4 linked regions of the Rattus norvegicus genome follow. The protein of the gene in region 1 binds, or shares a complex with, the protein of each later gene. Links are inferred from orthologs where the notes say so. Each region holds a gene or a part of one and is shown on either strand. Other genes may lie near its edges.

What was found. Proteins that work in one complex are often made in the same cells at the same time.
Region 2: Crnkl1 (region 1) and Rbmx2 share a complex: the UniProt entries of both Homo sapiens proteins name them as parts of the minor spliceosome. The link is inferred for Rattus norvegicus from reciprocal best matches to the Homo sapiens genes CRNKL1 and RBMX2.
Region 3: Crnkl1 (region 1) and Cript share a complex: the UniProt entries of both Homo sapiens proteins name them as parts of the minor spliceosome. The link is inferred for Rattus norvegicus from reciprocal best matches to the Homo sapiens genes CRNKL1 and CRIPT.
Region 4: Crnkl1 (region 1) and Plrg1 share a complex: the UniProt entries of both Homo sapiens proteins name them as parts of the minor spliceosome. The link is inferred for Rattus norvegicus from reciprocal best matches to the Homo sapiens genes CRNKL1 and PLRG1.

What each region holds. Positions count from the first base shown.
Region 1 is NC_086021.1:153,804,808-153,809,078, reverse strand, and holds the start of Crnkl1 (crooked neck-like protein 1), read left to right. Parts: upstream 1-1,464; 5' UTR 1,465-1,550; coding exon 1,551-1,601; intron 1,602-2,977; coding exon 2,978-3,130; intron 3,131-3,623; coding exon 3,624-3,715; intron 3,716-4,271. UniProt on the Homo sapiens protein: Involved in pre-mRNA splicing process. As a component of the minor spliceosome, involved in the splicing of U12-type introns in pre-mRNAs.
Region 2 is NC_086039.1:132,765,151-132,769,210, forward strand, and holds the start of Rbmx2 (RNA-binding motif protein, X-linked 2), read left to right. Parts: upstream 1-1,244; 5' UTR 1,245-1,251; coding exon 1,252-1,256; intron 1,257-1,445; coding exon 1,446-1,561; intron 1,562-3,582; coding exon 3,583-3,634; intron 3,635-4,060. UniProt on the Homo sapiens protein: Involved in pre-mRNA splicing as component of the activated spliceosome. As a component of the minor spliceosome, involved in the splicing of U12-type introns in pre-mRNAs.
Region 3 is NC_086024.1:13,340,119-13,344,278, reverse strand, and holds the start of Cript (cysteine-rich PDZ-binding protein), read left to right. Parts: upstream 1-1,344; 5' UTR 1,345-1,407; coding exon 1,408-1,423; intron 1,424-3,930; coding exon 3,931-3,996; intron 3,997-4,160. UniProt on the Homo sapiens protein: As a component of the minor spliceosome, involved in the splicing of U12-type introns in pre-mRNAs. Involved in the cytoskeletal anchoring of DLG4 in excitatory synapses.
Region 4 is NC_086020.1:170,704,960-170,709,003, forward strand, and holds the start of Plrg1 (pleiotropic regulator 1), read left to right. Parts: upstream 1-1,228; 5' UTR 1,229-1,321; coding exon 1,322-1,330; intron 1,331-2,319; coding exon 2,320-2,426; intron 2,427-3,868; coding exon 3,869-4,011; intron 4,012-4,044. UniProt on the Homo sapiens protein: Involved in pre-mRNA splicing as component of the spliceosome. Component of the PRP19-CDC5L complex that forms an integral part of the spliceosome and is required for activating pre-mRNA splicing.

The sequences.
Region 1 (4,271 bases):
CTGGTAAGTTGACCAGGCTCCAATGGAAGACCACATATCCAAAAATATCTGGGCAACACAAATTGGTCTTAAAAGGTTGAAAACCAAAAGGACACAAAGTTGGGTAGATAGGGAATGGGGTAGATCCCGGGGAAAGCTGGAGGAGTGACTATGATTAAAATGCAAAACTCAAAGAATTTTTAAAAAATGCTTACAAAAATGAGTATTGGGCTGGAGAGATGGCTCAGCGGTTAAGAGAACTGACTGCTCTTCCAGAGGTCCTGAGTTCAATTTCCAGCACCCACATGGTGGCTCACAACCAACCATCTGTAATGGGATCTGATGCCCTCTTCTAGTATGTCTAAAGACAGTGACAGTGTACTCATATAAATAATAAATCTTTAAAAAAATTAAAAATTGAGTATTGGCAGTCAAAGGCTCAAGGGGAGAAGGATGAACAGGCAGTACCCTGAGGATCTTAATGGCTTGGAACTCTGTAGATTATAGAAACAGCAGACACAGACTATCTTGCCTTTGTCCTAAATCTCAGACAGTACAAGGGTGAACTGTAACAGCCTTTAACTGATAATGTGTCAGTGTAAATTCACCAATGCTGACGATGAACCACCGTAGGGGTGGGAATGGATCGTAGAAAGCCCTTTGAGGGTGGGGAAAGAGGGAGTAGGAGAAGCTCACCTTCCCAATTTTACCGTCAATCTCAAAATTTTTATTTAAAAAAATTATCTTAACTATATGCTCAGTAACTCTGTTTCTGAATGTACGTCGGATAGTATACATACTAACATCTAGCGAGCACTTTACATAGACAGATTTTCTCTTTAATCTTAAGGAAATAGGTATTTCTCTCATTTTATAGTCAAAGGATAACAGAATTGAAATAATGAAAACAAATTTACAGACTAAAAATTTGGTTTTTGTACCAAATGTACCAGTTTCTGTAGATGCTTTGCTACTAATTTCCACCTTTCTCTAACATCTTGTTGCAAAAATACCTCTATTTAAAAAAAAAAAAAAAAAATCCACGTTTCAAGATCATTAACTTGGCCCAATCGCGAGGAAGCCCGAGACGAGGGGGCGGGGACTCAGAGACTACAAATCCCAGCATGCACCGCTGCCCTGGCAGCTGCTTGCAAGGCTGTGGTTTCCTCCGCGCTCTTCCCTTCTCCCTCTTGTTTCCACTTCCGAGATGGGTTCCTACGCCCCTTGTCAGGTGCCACTACCTACAGCTGCACGCATCTTAGAGACGGACCTGGGTGAGCCCTCGCCGCCCGAACCCCATGTCCCTGCGGCGCAGCCCGCGCTACCCACCTCACCCGCAGTCCCAGCAAGCGGCGCTGCTCCTCTGAGGACGCGCACACGGTTGCTACGGAAACGACGCGGCGTTTCCCCTGACTGGTGAGGCGGTCAAAGGTCGCCTTGGCAAGTTCCGGTTCCGGTTCCGGGATCTAGTTTGTTGTGGGCTGGCTCTGTGGTGCTGGCCGCGGGATTTTGAGGCGTGTATCTGAAGTCCGGGTGTGGGCCAGGGTCGCTCGCGTTCCGCGGCTACAATCATGGCGGCTTCCACGGCAGCCGGGAAACAGCGGATTCCTAAAGTGGCCAAGGTAAGCGACCTCGAGGAGCCTCAAGCACAGCATCTGTGGTGTGGGGCACTAGAGATTCCGGACAGAGATCTTTGTGCCCTGGTCCAAGAAGACAGGTGGTCCATGGTGAGGTGGCACGGGGTCTTGTCACTCCGAGTTCGTCTCGCGTCTGCCCAGCCTTCGTTCCAGGGTGGTATTTTTGTGATGCAAAGCATCAGTTCGGTTCGGTAAACTCATTGCTTTTCCTAGTCTCTGGGGGTCCCCTACTTTTACTCGAGGCTACAGTGCTCCAATAAAACTGGAGGAAGGGCGAAATAGCAACCTTGATAGATGTAGCCTAGTCCCGTAGACTATGCTATAGGCAAGAACCAGAAGGGTGCCAGTAAACTTGAGGGTAAGCTTTGTGAAGGAAGCTAACACTGGAAGGCTGCGTCAAAGTTAGGCAGTGGAGGGGATGGGAGAGGACAGGCTCTGTGCAATGGCATCATTTAGGTTGGACAGTAAATTATTCTATTTCCAACGGTGGCTGATACTTCACCAATGCTTAATGAATATCAAGTCTTGCACTTAGCCATTGCATACAATCTTTCTCTGGTTTGATTCTTCTAGGGCCTTTTGGTCTTGAGACAGGTTCTTATTTCCACATGTAATTGTAAAAATCTAATGTGGTAGCTTTTCCCCTGCATCCTGAGTCATAAAAACCATGGTATGTGTCCTGGCTAGATTTTTTGACAGCTCGACACAAGCTCAAGTTATCTAGAAAGAGGAGTCTGGACTAAGAAAATTCATCCATAAGATTGCTTGTATGCAAGTTACTGATTGGTGCAGAGGGCCCACCCTACTTGGGCAGTGCCATACCTGGGCAGGTGGTACAGAGTAGTATGTAAGAACAGACTGAGCTTAGCTTGTATATCAGTCATGCCTCCGGCTTCCTGCCCTGACTTCCTTTCATGATGGACTCGTGGTCCAGTTGTGTAAGCCAGTCAATCAGCTCTCTCCTCTGCGGGTTGTTTTTGTTGGTGTTGTTCTATCACAGCAGTAAGAAAGCAAATTAGAACAGTATGTTTGCACTCAGGGTCCATCTACCTTGAACACGTTTGACTTGTGGCTACCGTGTTGGAACTAAAGCGCTTACAGGCTATTGGTGGAGACTTTGTAAAAAGAACAGTTTCAGTTGGCCTAAAATGTCATGGAAAACCAATTTGTCCACTCGAGGGGTTAGAGGAGTTAGTTCTCTGAGCAGGTGATAAAGAGGAAGTGGTACGATTTTCCCCCTGCCCCCGGTTCTGTCTCATGGAGAATTGAGGGTGTCATTCAAAGATGGCATCTTGGACTCATTCTTAGATCTTGTGTGGAGAACACTACCCAAAAGCAGGAATGTCTCTTTGTCCTAACAGGTGAAGAACAAAGCGCCAGCAGAGGTGCAGATAACCGCAGAGCAGCTCTTAAGGGAGGCTAAAGAAAGAGAGCTCGAGCTCCTCCCACCCCCACCTCAGCAGAAGATCACAGACGAGGAAGAACTAAACGATTACAAACTACGGAAAAGGAAGGTGAGTCTGTTAAGAATGCACTGCGTACGTCTGTCCAAGTCGCCCCCCACAGTAGGAGCGAGGGCCTGGGAGAGAACTCTGAAAGGGCCTATGTGATCGGACCTCAGGCTAGTATTTGGGATTATTTAATGCACTAATATCGTGGAAGTCATACGTAAAATTCTACGAGTTACCGAGCACTTGAAGGTAATGTTAAAAGTTGTTTCAACATTCTTATTCTTAATGAGAGTAGAATTTATTAAAGCACTCGTTGTTAATTGCTACGGAGAACAGCAAAGCGTTCTAAAAGACACACCTTACATTTTTCTTGATGTCACCATAAACTTTAGAGAAACACCTGTCATTGTCCCCCTTCTGGAGGAAGGTTCTTGTTCCTCAGCATCTAGGATATATTTTCTCTTAGAAAGAATAAAATGAGTGCTGTATATTACAAGGGGGAAGCAAAGTCATTTTCTCTTTGATACACTCTCTTCACTCCCCTTTTGCCTTTCAGACTTTCGAAGATAATATAAGAAAAAACAGAACTGTGATTAGCAACTGGATCAAATACGCACAATGGGAGGAAAGTCTGAAGGAAATTCAAAGGTAAAGTGCCACGACTATAGTAACTGTCTGCAAAGAGTGTGCAAGCCAGCGTGTGAGAGCTGGGAAGAGGAGAGCAGGGAACTGTGCCGTGTCAGCAATTTCCAGCTTCTTTCCAGGGAGCTCTCTGAGGCACTCACTGGGAAGGACAGTCAAGGGGGTGTCTCAGGAGGTTCTAGATGTGGGTCTTGCTGCTAGTACTCCTGTCGCTAAGAACAGTGTTTTGTCTGTTTTCTGTGTTAATTGGATATTGTTTCAAATATAGGAGTGTTCTCCTGAAATCTGTTGTCAAGATAAAAATCATGGTGGCCTTCACTGCCCGTTGACTAGCCTTTCTACCCTCGTACCCATGTTCCACTGTGACCATGTCCTTGCCAATCCTGAGCACATCATTGCTCATTACTGTGCCATTTGTTTGCTCTCTGCCTTGACCCCTTGAAGGCACCTTTTCTTCACCAACCTTGACTTCTGAACAAACTGCAACTATCTCTCCCATTCTCAGTTCCAGGAGCTCCTGCAGCTTAGCCTGTTTCACCAAACATTGCCATTTCTCTCTCTG
Region 2 (4,060 bases), on another chromosome or scaffold:
GAAATTCTGCTGAATAAACACTCTTTGCTTTTGTATACTATTTGAGTCTGGGGGGTATCATTCTTCTGCTACTCTTGGACCCTAACACTCACAAAAAGGAACTCCTATTTTCTGTTTACATACTGATTTCTGGATAATTGTGATATGAATAATTATTAATTATATGATAATTATGATATGAAGTATTCAAGTACATATAGATTTCCCCTTATACCATTAGTTCTATGCATGCAGAAAACCAGTCCTCCAGATTCCTTCTATAGACCAACTGTACAGAACAAATTTAGATGCTCAATAAGGGATGATTAAATTAGCCTGACCTGATTGGTACAAGCTCAAGACATTTCAAGTTAAGCAAATTTTAAAAGATTTATTAGTTTTACTCATGTGTATGTATATCTGTGCATGCCATGGGAGTGCAAATGCCCACAGAAACCAGAGGAGGAGGATGGATCTTCTGAAGTTGGAGTTGTGAGCCACTTGTTTTGGGTGCTGGGATCTGAATACAGGTTCTCTGGAAAAATCACCAAATGGTCTTAACCACTGAACCACCTCCCTAGACATTCAAGCTAATTTGTTGAAGCTCAGTTTTTTTTTCCTCTGTAAAGTAGGGGTGGTAACTGTATTTCATGGGGTTGTTGGGAGGCCAGCTTGGTCTACAGAGCGATGTCCAAGACAGCTAGGGCTACACAAAGAAACCCTGTATGTAAAGAAACAGAGATTGAATGAAAAATGAAAATGGCAGAAACTGAGCCCCTTGGAGGCAGAGGTTTAGGGTAGGGGCAGCCACTGGTGTGAGACTTAGCCTGGGTTTGAGACCTAACAGAGACAACATGCATAAATTTTCTATCATTTGGAACCTTTACATTCTCTAACTCTTCAATTGTTAGGTACTAATTTGACAATGCTAATTTTTGCCTGCCTCTGGAAAAAGGCCACATCCGTTATTTAAATCTGTGGGCATTTAATTCAGACTGCAGAAGCACACGGATCCACTGTAACGCCCAGGTTCCCACCTTCGAGCTACACCAAAAAGGGAAGCAGGGAATAACTAGGGAACTATTTCGCCCCTGGAGCAAAAGCGTGAGAAAGCGCGTTTGCGTTACTGCGCATGTGCCGAGGCTTAGCGCGCCGGAAGTCCCGCCTCCATTTCCGTTGGCTCCAATCTGAGCTGAGTGTTCGGGTTGCGCGCGCGCTTCGGAGCCTCACCCGGAAGCTGATGTCTTAAGAGCGGAGCGCGAAGATGCGAATATGAAGTAAGGATTTAGTTTCTCTGAGGACAGGGGAGGGAGTTTCTCTGAGGAAGGGAGAATGGATTGAGGAGGGCCGCCCATAAGGGCGGGGACAGGTCCTCGCCTTCAGGGCCTCGGGGCGGGAGACGACCGGTACGTAGAAGGCGGGCTGTGAGGAAATGTACTTAAACGTCTTTCCCTTCTCCCGCACAGCCCTTTAACTAAGGTGAAGCTGATCAACGAACTGAATGAGCGAGAGGTTCAACTTGGGGTGGCAGAAAAGGTGTCTTGGCACTCGGAATACAAAGACAGCGCCTGGATCTTTCTTGGTGAGGTCTACATTTTTCTCTAGCAGTGCCTTTCAGAGTCTGTACCTCCCCTCCCCTCCTCCCCCTTCCTCCTGGTTGTTTAGCGCCCCTGGTCGTCACCTCTGAACACGCTGCTCGTCACCTCACACTCTTGCAGCTAGTCTGCTCACAGGTTCCTTTTTCACTTGGCCCCTATGATACTGCTTAGAAATTGGTATTTGCCATTCATTATATGAAAAATCTTGCCACTTGGTTGCTTAGAGACAGTTAACTCCCCAGGCAACCCATAGTGATGTCAAGGAAACTGAGGCGCACAGGGGTTACTGGGCTTGCTTAAGGTGCTGCATCACTCAAAACTATAGGGCTGTGTTCTTAGTCCTTATTGCATGTCTATTATCTGCCGTTTCTCAGAATTATTTTCCTCTTGTAAGTGGCTGCTTCTCCCAGTTCTTTGTTGTATTGTTAGGTACCAGAACAGACATTAACTGGCTTGGACGACATTGAGGGTTTCTCCTGCTTAACATTTGAAAGGCTATCTGAAAATGTGGAGGGATGTGAGCTTTGTTGTTCATTAAGGGAAAACTACTGATGAAAAGAATACAGTCTGGATTACACCCCTGGCCCTGGGTAGATACCGGGACATTTTCAGGAATCCTAAATGTTACATGCTTGTGTTCCCCTTCCTTAAGACAATCCAACAGGCTTTAAATTTTCTGGCCAGGAGTCACCTGTCAGGAAAGCTCAGTCATCTAAAGACACGCTAAGGACATGGGAGGGAAATGATCCCCAGTGCAGTTGTTACTGGTCTCTGTGTTAAGTCTACCTGTTATTCTGAGTTCTCACTTATCCCCTGCCCTCCCTTTCTGTCCATTCTCTGGATGCTGGCTGGAATCCTGAACATGCTTGCCCGGAACACTTTGGACTGTCTCATTCCAAATCTAAAGGCTCTCCTATCCCCTTGAACCACTCCTCTACCTCCATCTCTGTGCATTGCTGCTTGCTTGACCGCTAATTCAGAAGGCATGGCTGCTTCTTCTGCAGCTCCTTCATCCCAGTAGCTGCTGAAGCTTACAACTTGCTTCCCTATCAGCTCTCTCTCAAATGCTAATAAAATGGACCTCAAGCTTCCTCCTTAGTCTGCTTTAGAATTATATTATCAAGATAAGACATTACTAGCCTTTGTAAAAGGGGAACTCTTAACTCTCTGGTGACAATATTATTATCCTGTATTCACTTTATGTCCCAACCAAAATCCTGCAGTTTACCTTTGGAAAGAGGCTGTTGTAATAGGTATTGTGTTAAGCACTTTATATTCCTCATTTTACTTTATTTCTCTAACACTCCTGTGAGGCAAATATGATACCATCCCATTTTTACACTTGAGGGAAAACATGGAGGGAGGGGAAATTGTTTCCTATGAAATGCTTAATATTATCCCTTATAAATCTTAGCTTGCACATAAGTGAGGGTAATAATAGTATACTTAAACTTGCTGTTTATGAGATTGAGTCTTGTGCAGGAAATCACCTGCTTTATAGGATTTTTGGATGTGAGGATTCAAAGATAAAATTAATTTGGTGAGTGATGACCCCAGCCTTTCCACTCAGAGTTACTATTTTTTTCTCTTTCTCTTCTCTTCTTTTCTTTCCCTCCTTTCCCTTCCTTTTCTCCTTTTTTTCTCTCTCTCCCTCCCTTCCTTCTTCCCTCCCTCCTTCCCTCCTTCCCTCCTTTTCTCTCTCTCTCTCTTCCCCCCTCCCTCCCTCTGTACCTCCCTCTCCCTCTTTCTTCCTTTCTTTCTCTCTTTCTTTGAGGCAGAGTTTTACTATGAAACCACTGTGTAGACCAGGCTTGCCTGGAACTCACAGAGATCTGAGAGTTAATTACTTTCCTTCCGGACTACTGTCACTATACCCACTCATTCTATCATTGGATTAGACTGATATATTTGAGATTGTGGCTTGTTTAATCTGTACCTCCAGTGCCTAGCATGCAGTAAACACTTGCTTAATGTTTGTTGAACCCAAGTGTTTGTTTTCTTCTAGGAGGGCTTCCTTATGAACTGACAGAAGGAGACATCATCTGTGTGTTCTCACAGTAAGTCCTCTGTTGTTACCTATCTCCTGGGTGCATAGAACAGTTTGCTTCCATAGAGTATTTTTGTAACAGCAACAAAGCATTTCAAGCTGGGTGTGGAGTTGTACACCTCTATAAGAGGCTGAGGTAGGAAGATCACTTGGAGTGAGACCCTGCCTCAAAAAGCCATGAAAACCATTTAATTCTAGGCTGAATGACATCCATGCATGGGGAAGGCTAGAGTCTAGCTCAGTCCCAGGTTAGATAAGGTTCCAGAGAATTACCACATGGGAGATCCCAAAGCTTGGATCATTTGAGAGTCTGTCTGAGGGACTTTAGTCCGTTTCTGTCATTTTTACTGAGCTTCGTTCTGCATGGGCTTACATTGGAACAGACAGGCATTCAGGAAGATGCAGTATTGCCCCTTCTCTTTGGGTTCTTGAAAAC
Region 3 (4,160 bases), on another chromosome or scaffold:
GGTGCAGAACCAGAGTAAGATGGTCATTATGATAAACTAGGGGCCCACTGTCTGTTACAGATGCTAAATCCTACTAAAAGCAGAACGTAAGTGGGAGGAGAAGCAAAGGTTTACAGTCCCTAAATACATGTGTTTGACCTAAAGAACATTTTTTATGTTATATTGACTAAAATTAATTAAGAACTTTAGCAATTGTTACAATGTGGTAAAAATCCGGCCCAAAAAGGAACATCCACACAAAAGGAGGAGAAATTAACAGGGAACGTAAAAGTGCAAGTCTGGGCGTTGTCCTATTTGCCCTCATTTAATTCACACTATCGTTTTCAAAGGCAAATATGGTACTGATTAAGCAAACCGGCTAAACAAGTTAGCAGAAGCGGCCAAGGTTACACACACTAAAGCCATTTCAAGTATCGCCTCTTTAACATGAAGACACCCTCCGGGGTCCGGACAAGAACGGATAACAATGAAAAGACTTCGGAAAAGTTTCTCAGATTCTCCCCTCCACTGAGGGATCGGGCAGGTAGGGGGATCAGAAATCCATCCTCTAAGTAGAGCTTGTCTCTGGGCCACCTGCAAATCCCTATCTAACACGGCGAGCCGTGCCCAAACGCAAAGGCCGGTTGAATGGAGCCCTTCCTCGGGCACCGGCGGGCGAGTTTCCCTAGCACGCCACACCTGGGAAGCCGCCCTTCGGAGTCGCGATCCCACGAGAGCCCGGTGGGAAGGCATGGCTGCTCCCGAACCCTCCTGAGCAGCCTTTGCCCGGGCGCTGACCGCGGCTCAACCCCACCCAGGTGACTCTGTCCCAACCCCGGACAGCGCGAGTGTGGGCAACTGAGGGGCATCATCAGAGAGAGCCCGGGCGGCCGACCCGGTAACCTGAGAGACGGTGACAGAGGGTCGGTCCCGCCGACAGACGCCGGGATCTCAGAGGGTCCGTCGCGCCATGCATCCTCTGGCCCGCCGGAAGCGTGGCGCCTTGGAAGCCACGGCAGCAGTCCGCAGAGCGACCTGCACCTGCCCCAGGAGAACTTAGGAAGCATCCCTCCCGCTTACCTAACTCTCCCGCCCGCCGAAGGGAAGGGGACACCACCGCCTCCCACCCTCAGGTGCGACAGGCTGCCATGGCCCCTCGCGCAGGCGCAGACCAGAAGGCGGGGGACTCACAAGCGGATAGCCAATCGTTGAAGAGAAGAGGCGGACCGATAAAGGAAGCCCCGCCCATGAGCTCGCGTTTATCCCTCCCGCGACTTTCTCCATCCTGGATAGGCCGGAGCGGGAGGGCTGAGTACGGAAGCGAACTGACGTAACCGGAAGAGGAAGTCTTCTCAGCTGTGTTGTTGATGTATTTTGGCAGCTGCTCCTGCTTTGCGGGTTGAGGGGGACAGGACGACCCGTGGAAGGATGGTGTGTGAAAAGTGTAAGTTAAGGCGCTGCTTCTGTGGGAGGTGGAGGCTGGAGGAACCCGACGAAATTCTCTTGGGATTTCGGCCTTTGTTTTTTCTCACCGGTCTGTAGTATAACCTTTGTCTTCCTTCCTTGCCCCACGGTCCTTGCCTATCCCGGGACCCTATAGCCCTATGCTTTGTGTTCAGAATGGTCTCAGTTCTGCACATCTATGCTTGTTTCTGTCACCGTCCTCGCGCCCTCCTTGGATCTCTTTAATTATAACTTCTTGACAGGATCCCAGAGACTTAAAAATCTTTCTGGTAGCATCTAGAGTTGCCAGGTGTAACAAATATAAATCCCAGGCTCTCAGTTACATTATAAGATTATAGGCAATGATTAATTTCTAGTATTATTAATATGTCCCGCATAATATTTAAATCTTGGCTTTTGTTCGCTGTTCCTTACTACAAAACATGCCGCATTTAATACAGATTTTACTTTAAAAATTAATTCAGTGGTCATCTGAAATTAAGTTTAATTGAATATCTTATACCATCCCGTCAGTTCATTAATACAGCATTAGGTCAGGTGAAGGAGAGAGTCTCATCACCACCAAAGAAATCTATGTAGTCATCCCTGGCTTTTAGAAAGGTCTTTTTAACTCTTTAAGTTACCATTCAGTAATTCCAATGAAACCCCTGAGATTTGTTGAAAATACTTATTGTTTTGTTTTTTCGTTTTCTGTTTTTTGTTTTTTACTGCAAAAGCTGTTGATTTGTTTAAAACAGCTTTCTTTTCTTGATCTCTTTCTTGGGCTAGACAGCCTTCTCTGACAAGATTCCAACTTGGATCTCAGTTAATGGCTAATATATACAACCACAGTACATAGAACTCTGGACACAGACACCACCTAGTAGCTGTGGCATCAGACTCAGCCACCATTCTTTTTTTTTCCAGTAAATTCTATTTCTTTATTATTTTTGAGATAATATAATTGCAACATTTCTTTCTTCCATTTCCTCCCTCTAAACTCTCCCATATATCCATCAAATTCCTGACCTCTTTTTTCACTAATTGTATTGAATGCATACATGTATATAGTTGTTTTATAAATGCAGCCTGCTCAGTTCATATATTGTTACTTGGATGTATGTTTCCGGGCTGACCATTAGCACTGGACAACCAATTGGTATGCCCTTCCCTCGGGAAGACCACTCCTAGCTACCTTCATCAGCTCCATTCTCAAACAGCTTTTTATTCTTTTTGAAAGTGGGGAAAGTGTTTAATTAAATGTGGCCTAAATGTAGATATGACCCTGTCCTTTGTGCTGTGCAGTAAAAGGCCATTTCTTTCTATTATAGTTACTCCTCTGCTCTTCTGAAAAATCTAATGTTTTACTATTTGTAACCTCCTAGTCTGTGTGCTCATTACACTCACCCTGTATGTAAACTGAACTCCTGCTCATACAGAAGCTGTACTGTCAGGCAGCCACCTCAGTTCTGCCTTTCCTTCTGTCATAAGTTGCTCAAAAAGTTCTTTGTCTCCAAATTTTTAGAGTTCTCTTCCATTTACTGGGTTCCAGGGTGTTTGTCTTGGTCTGCTTTGTTTCTCTTGATCCATTAGATCTTTGGGAAATGGTTGACCTCAGCTAGCACATCCATACCACTGAGTATCCAGTTCACCTCTCCACCTGACCTTTTCCCTACTTAAACTCTAAGAAGTAACTGTCCATTTGGATCTTGACGTCCGAGGCCCTCTACAGACAAACACCTAAGCTATCCTTCCAACCTCCTTTCTCCCACCTCACACTGAGCTCGCCAGAGTACTCTGTGCACTGTGGTACCCCTGAGCTTCCCATGCCTGACCTGGGGATGTGTCCTTTATTTACTGTTTGACTTCATCTCCTCATCTACTTTCCCAACACTTAAGCTCCATCTCCTTAGTTCACAGCTCAGGCTTCCAGCTTATGGTTCTACTGAAGGCTTCTTCACTTTTCAGAAAGGCTCCAGTCAGAACAAGAAAAGGTTATAAGCACATGCTCTAGGTTTCTGTGCAGTCCCGCCTGCTTCGTTTCCTCCCAGCTATCAGCCTACAAGCTCTTAAGGAGCTCGTGAACTTGGGTCTAAGCCCCTGAATCTAGACTCATGGCTTTGTTTTCCTCAGTACCTCCCACAGTGCTTTGTACAGACTAGGTGATTAGAGAATGTGGGAGAAATGAATACGTTTGTCAGAATTGTTTAAAGTATAATCAGTGGAACCTGTTGGTAGGGCATCTTGTTGTCCTGGAAGTTTTATTTAGAACCAGTATCTGTTGCCCACAGTTGCTATCATTCATTCATTGATTTCTACCCTGGTGTTAGTAGGTTCCTACTGTAGTCTCACTTTTCATGTCATTATGTACTTCAGGCATAATACAGTATATTTATTATTTTAAATTATTATTGTAACGTTAGCAGAGAAATGCGTTTTGTTATTTTATTTCCACACAGTGTGTGTATTAGATGACAGTTGTACTCTTTTGCTATCTTGCTACAACAGGTGAAAAGAAACTCGGCAGGGTTATCACTCCAGACACATGGAAGGACGGGGCCCGGAACACCACAGGTACTGCTTGCCAGTAGGAAACAGGAGCTGGATCAAGTGCTTGTGGACACAGCTCTAGGGCTTCACTGTTTGCAGAGTGCAGTGTTAGATGATGACTCTCTCGTCCATTAAACACAAAGAGGACCGGATTCCCCTGTGAATTCATATCTTTTTCATCATCTGAG
Region 4 (4,044 bases), on another chromosome or scaffold:
GAGGCCATAGCAAACAAGAAGAACACAGGTTCCTATGTGAACAAGAAATCTGCCTACGATATATGTGATTTATGGATCTCATAACTAGATAATAGGGTCACTTAAGGTCCTTATTAAGCCAAGAAGGTAATTTTCACATGGGTGACATAATTCGAGAGTTATAAGAAAAGCAAAACCTAGTGTGGTTACCTCTAAGATGGCTGTTGTGAGCCTTGTCCATAAGTTGTGTTCAGGATGACTATCTAACAAGTTTAATGAGAGCTGTCTAGTAGTCATATTAACATAGATATGTTAAGGTCTTTCTAACATTTCCTTAGTGTTTTGTGATTTAAAATGTTCTTTTCTAGGTTATTAATATTTTCTTGCAAAGTATACAAACGTTGACCACTTTTACAGAAAATAAGATCCTTTGACTAAACTCACATTTAAATTTAGAAATGCCTACTTGTGGGCTAGCTACAAAGACGGCTCAGGAGTTAAGGCTCAAACTAAAAGGACGGAAATGACTGTTTTCAGGCTAAAAATGCGACCTTCATGTTTTCATGAATTAAAATATTTGAATTTGAGTGAATAATTATGAATTAAAATATTTGAATTTGAATGAGAGCACTGGCTCACATTGCTATACCTGCGCTACATTTTCACCCTTCTCAAAGTATTCGCAGTACTCTCTGAGGACGGGATCATTGAACTTAATCACAGTTCAGGAAGATGCACAATCAGTGAAAATGCCTTATTTAAGATCACAAATAGCAACTACATCAATATAGAAAACACTTGGAAACGATCGAACGTAAGCCACAGATTTTATCTGGGTGAAACACAAAACGTCAACAGTTTAGCATCAGGTCAAATAAAGTAAAAACAACTTAAGTTCCCAATGGTTTCTGAAAAACGGCTTGCTTAGAATCTCTAAGCAGCACTTAGCTTCCGGAAACAAGTACCTCCCCTAAACAGGGCTTTAAGGCCCGCGCTCCCTTCGCTCCGGCTGGAAGCTCCGCCCTCAGCCAGGGGACTCCGCCCAGTTCCGCCGAGACCCGCCCCTCCCCGCCCCAAACCCCGCCCAGTCCCGCCCAGCAGCTGCCTAGATCCTACTCTTCGCCACGAGTCTCCGCGCAACTCCGCCTAGCTTCCGCCCTCCACCGCTAGACTCCACCCCTCGACCCCTGCGCGGCGGGTTGCCAATACGCATGCGCGGTTGGCGTCACGTCCGGCGACAGGCCCCAATCTCCGGAAGGAGCGGCAGAATAGTGGCGGCGATTTCTGCGTCGAGCATTTGGAGTTTCTTCGCTGCTGAACGGGTAGACTAAACGGCGGCGACATGGTGGAGGTAAAGTAACGCTCGGGCACTCGGGAGTCGTTTGTCTTTGGAGCTTTGCCCACGGAAGTAGGATGAAAGTACTGGGAATCTGGGGAAGCGAACTGTAGCCAAAACTGGTGGTCTTGGGCTGTCGGGGTGGGAGGAAGGCCGATGACATCCCGAATCCGAGGTTCAGTCGGCGGGAAGCCTGAAGGAATCTTGCAGTCGGTGTGTTGTTGGCATCTGGCCCTTTCCTGGGAGGCGGGGCTTCTGATGCTCCCACCTTGGCTGGGATGCTAGTCCGTGCTGTCTTGTCAGTTTCACAGTTATTTCATCTCTACCCCATTAAAGCTTGCCGTGCTTGATTTTGTTTGTTCTTGCGTATCCCAAACGTTTCTTATTCCCACCCACTGCGTTCCAGATCCACTGCAGTCCTCCTAATCTAGCCCAACATCTTTTGCCTGGACGAATTCTATAGCTTCCAAGTGCTTACGATTAACGAACACATTGAAGGAATGTAGTTCAGTGCTGCTTTCTGTCCCAGTGTTAAATGTTGGTGATGGCAGAGGCCTAAACCCCACCGACCTTCGGAACCCACACTCCCGCAGCATTCACAACTGCTGCAGTTCTGAATTATATGAACGTCTTCGCAGTGGCATCTCCCAGAGCTTGCACTGTTTGAACCTCTATTCTTTGTAAGGCTGTCTCCCTCTCTGCTTACCTGTCACCAGAGAGAACCTTTCTTGATTATATCTAGCAATTCTTTTTTCCCCTCTGAGTCACCCCATCGAACCCTCCAAAATGTGGAATTATTTTGCTTATTTTTGTGTGTTGTCTCTTGAACTCTGACCAGACAGGAGCTTTCTCATCTTTGTTGTTGGCTGCTGTAGTTTGTCACAGTTACTGAGGAGTGTTAGCCTTTATGTATTTAGCATGTAAAGTGCGTAATGAATCTAATGTTGATTAGAGCGTATGGGTCTCTTCTAGCTAGATGTGTGATCTTGATTGTCTCTTTACAGGAGGTACAGAAGCATTCTGTGCACACACTAGTGTTCAGGTCATTGAAGAGGACCCATGACATGTTTGTGGCTGATAATGGAAAACCTGTGCCTTTGGATGAAGAGAGGTAAGTTCTATTCCTTTTCAGTTGCTAAAGTATTTTATATTGATAGAAGAGCGCAAAGTGACAGAGAGGAGGTGACTTTGAAAGGTCTTAAAAATGCAGACACAGGATACTTGGGCAGTAGCGAGTGTCTTTTCATCATAATACAAATAGCATTAACTCATTTTGCTTATTTTTGTGTGTTGTCTCTTGAGCTCTGGCCAGACAGACAATAACTCTTGTCTATTTTAAAAATCTAATTATAGTTTACAGATACCCAGTGTGATGATTTGAAAGAGAATGGCCTCCATAGTTTCATGTATTTAAATGCTTGGTCTCTGTTGGTGGAACTGTTTTGGAAGGGTTAGAGGAGGTGTGTCATTGGGGATAAGCTGTAAGATTTCAGAAACCTACACCATTCCCAGTTAGCTCCCCTATCTATTGCTCCTTTTCTCCCCCCCTCTTTCCTCCCTTACCTCCCTCCCTCCCCCAACAACCCCCACATCATGCTTGTGAATCAGACGTAAGCGCTCAGCTGCTGCTCCAATACCATGCTTGCCTGTCTGCTCTCATGCTCCCTACTCTGATGGTCAAGGACTCTAGCCTCTTAAACCATGACCCCCAAATTAATACTTTCTTCTCTAAATTACCTCAATTATGGTGTTTGCCACAGCAATAGAAAAGTAGCTAGTACCCAGTAATTAGGGGCATTCCTGTCACGTTATCGTATTTCTAGTGCATCACTTTGTGCATGCTTTTAGCTTCCTGCTCTCAGACTCTCGTTGTGCTGAAATTGTTCTTGGCCAGTATCTCTTCTCCCATCTGTGCTCCTTGGTACAGTGAAGACTTCTAAGTGGCATACTCTTGGTTCTCACCAATCCTAGTCTGGGATTGTGTTGTATGCAGTGCCTTTCTCTGTCCTTTGCTTTTTCTTTATAATCTACTTAATTCCCCTCATTTGCATTTATATTTAATTTTTAAGGTGGATTATCTTTTTAAGTAATATAAGTACATTTATCTTTAAAATGCAGAGCTAATTTAGTGCTTTCATTGGGTCTGACTTTTTAGATTACTAATAAAGGTGTCTATACAAATTTTACTATATTCAGACATTTAAAGGTTTTTTTTAAAAGATATATTAGTTTATGTATGTCTTTAATTTACTTGGACCCTTGAGACCTCATTGAAAAAGGTTTTGTGTTTATTCAGCTGCAAACTATGGTCCTGCTTTGGATTAAATGACTACTGTATGGTAGATTGTGAGGTAAAGTAAATACATATGGTATAGAAATACATTTTGAAATTTCATATTTGTTAAAATACTAGTTAACTTGAAAAACATCCTGGATCTGTGAGTTGGAATACAGTATCTCTTTCTGTACTTGTGTTCTGCTAACTGAATATTTTCATTGGTGATGTGTTTCTAATATTTAAGGATGCATTTCATGTTTATGATTTTTAAATAGTCACAAGCGGAAAATGGCAATCAAGCTTCGTAATGAGTATGGCCCTGTGCTGCATATGCCTACTTCAAAAGAGAATCTTAAGGAGAAGGGACCTCAAAACGCACCAGATTCATATCCTCATAAGCAGTATCCTGCCAATCAAGGTGAAAACCATGAGGTTTACAAGTGGAGTTTTA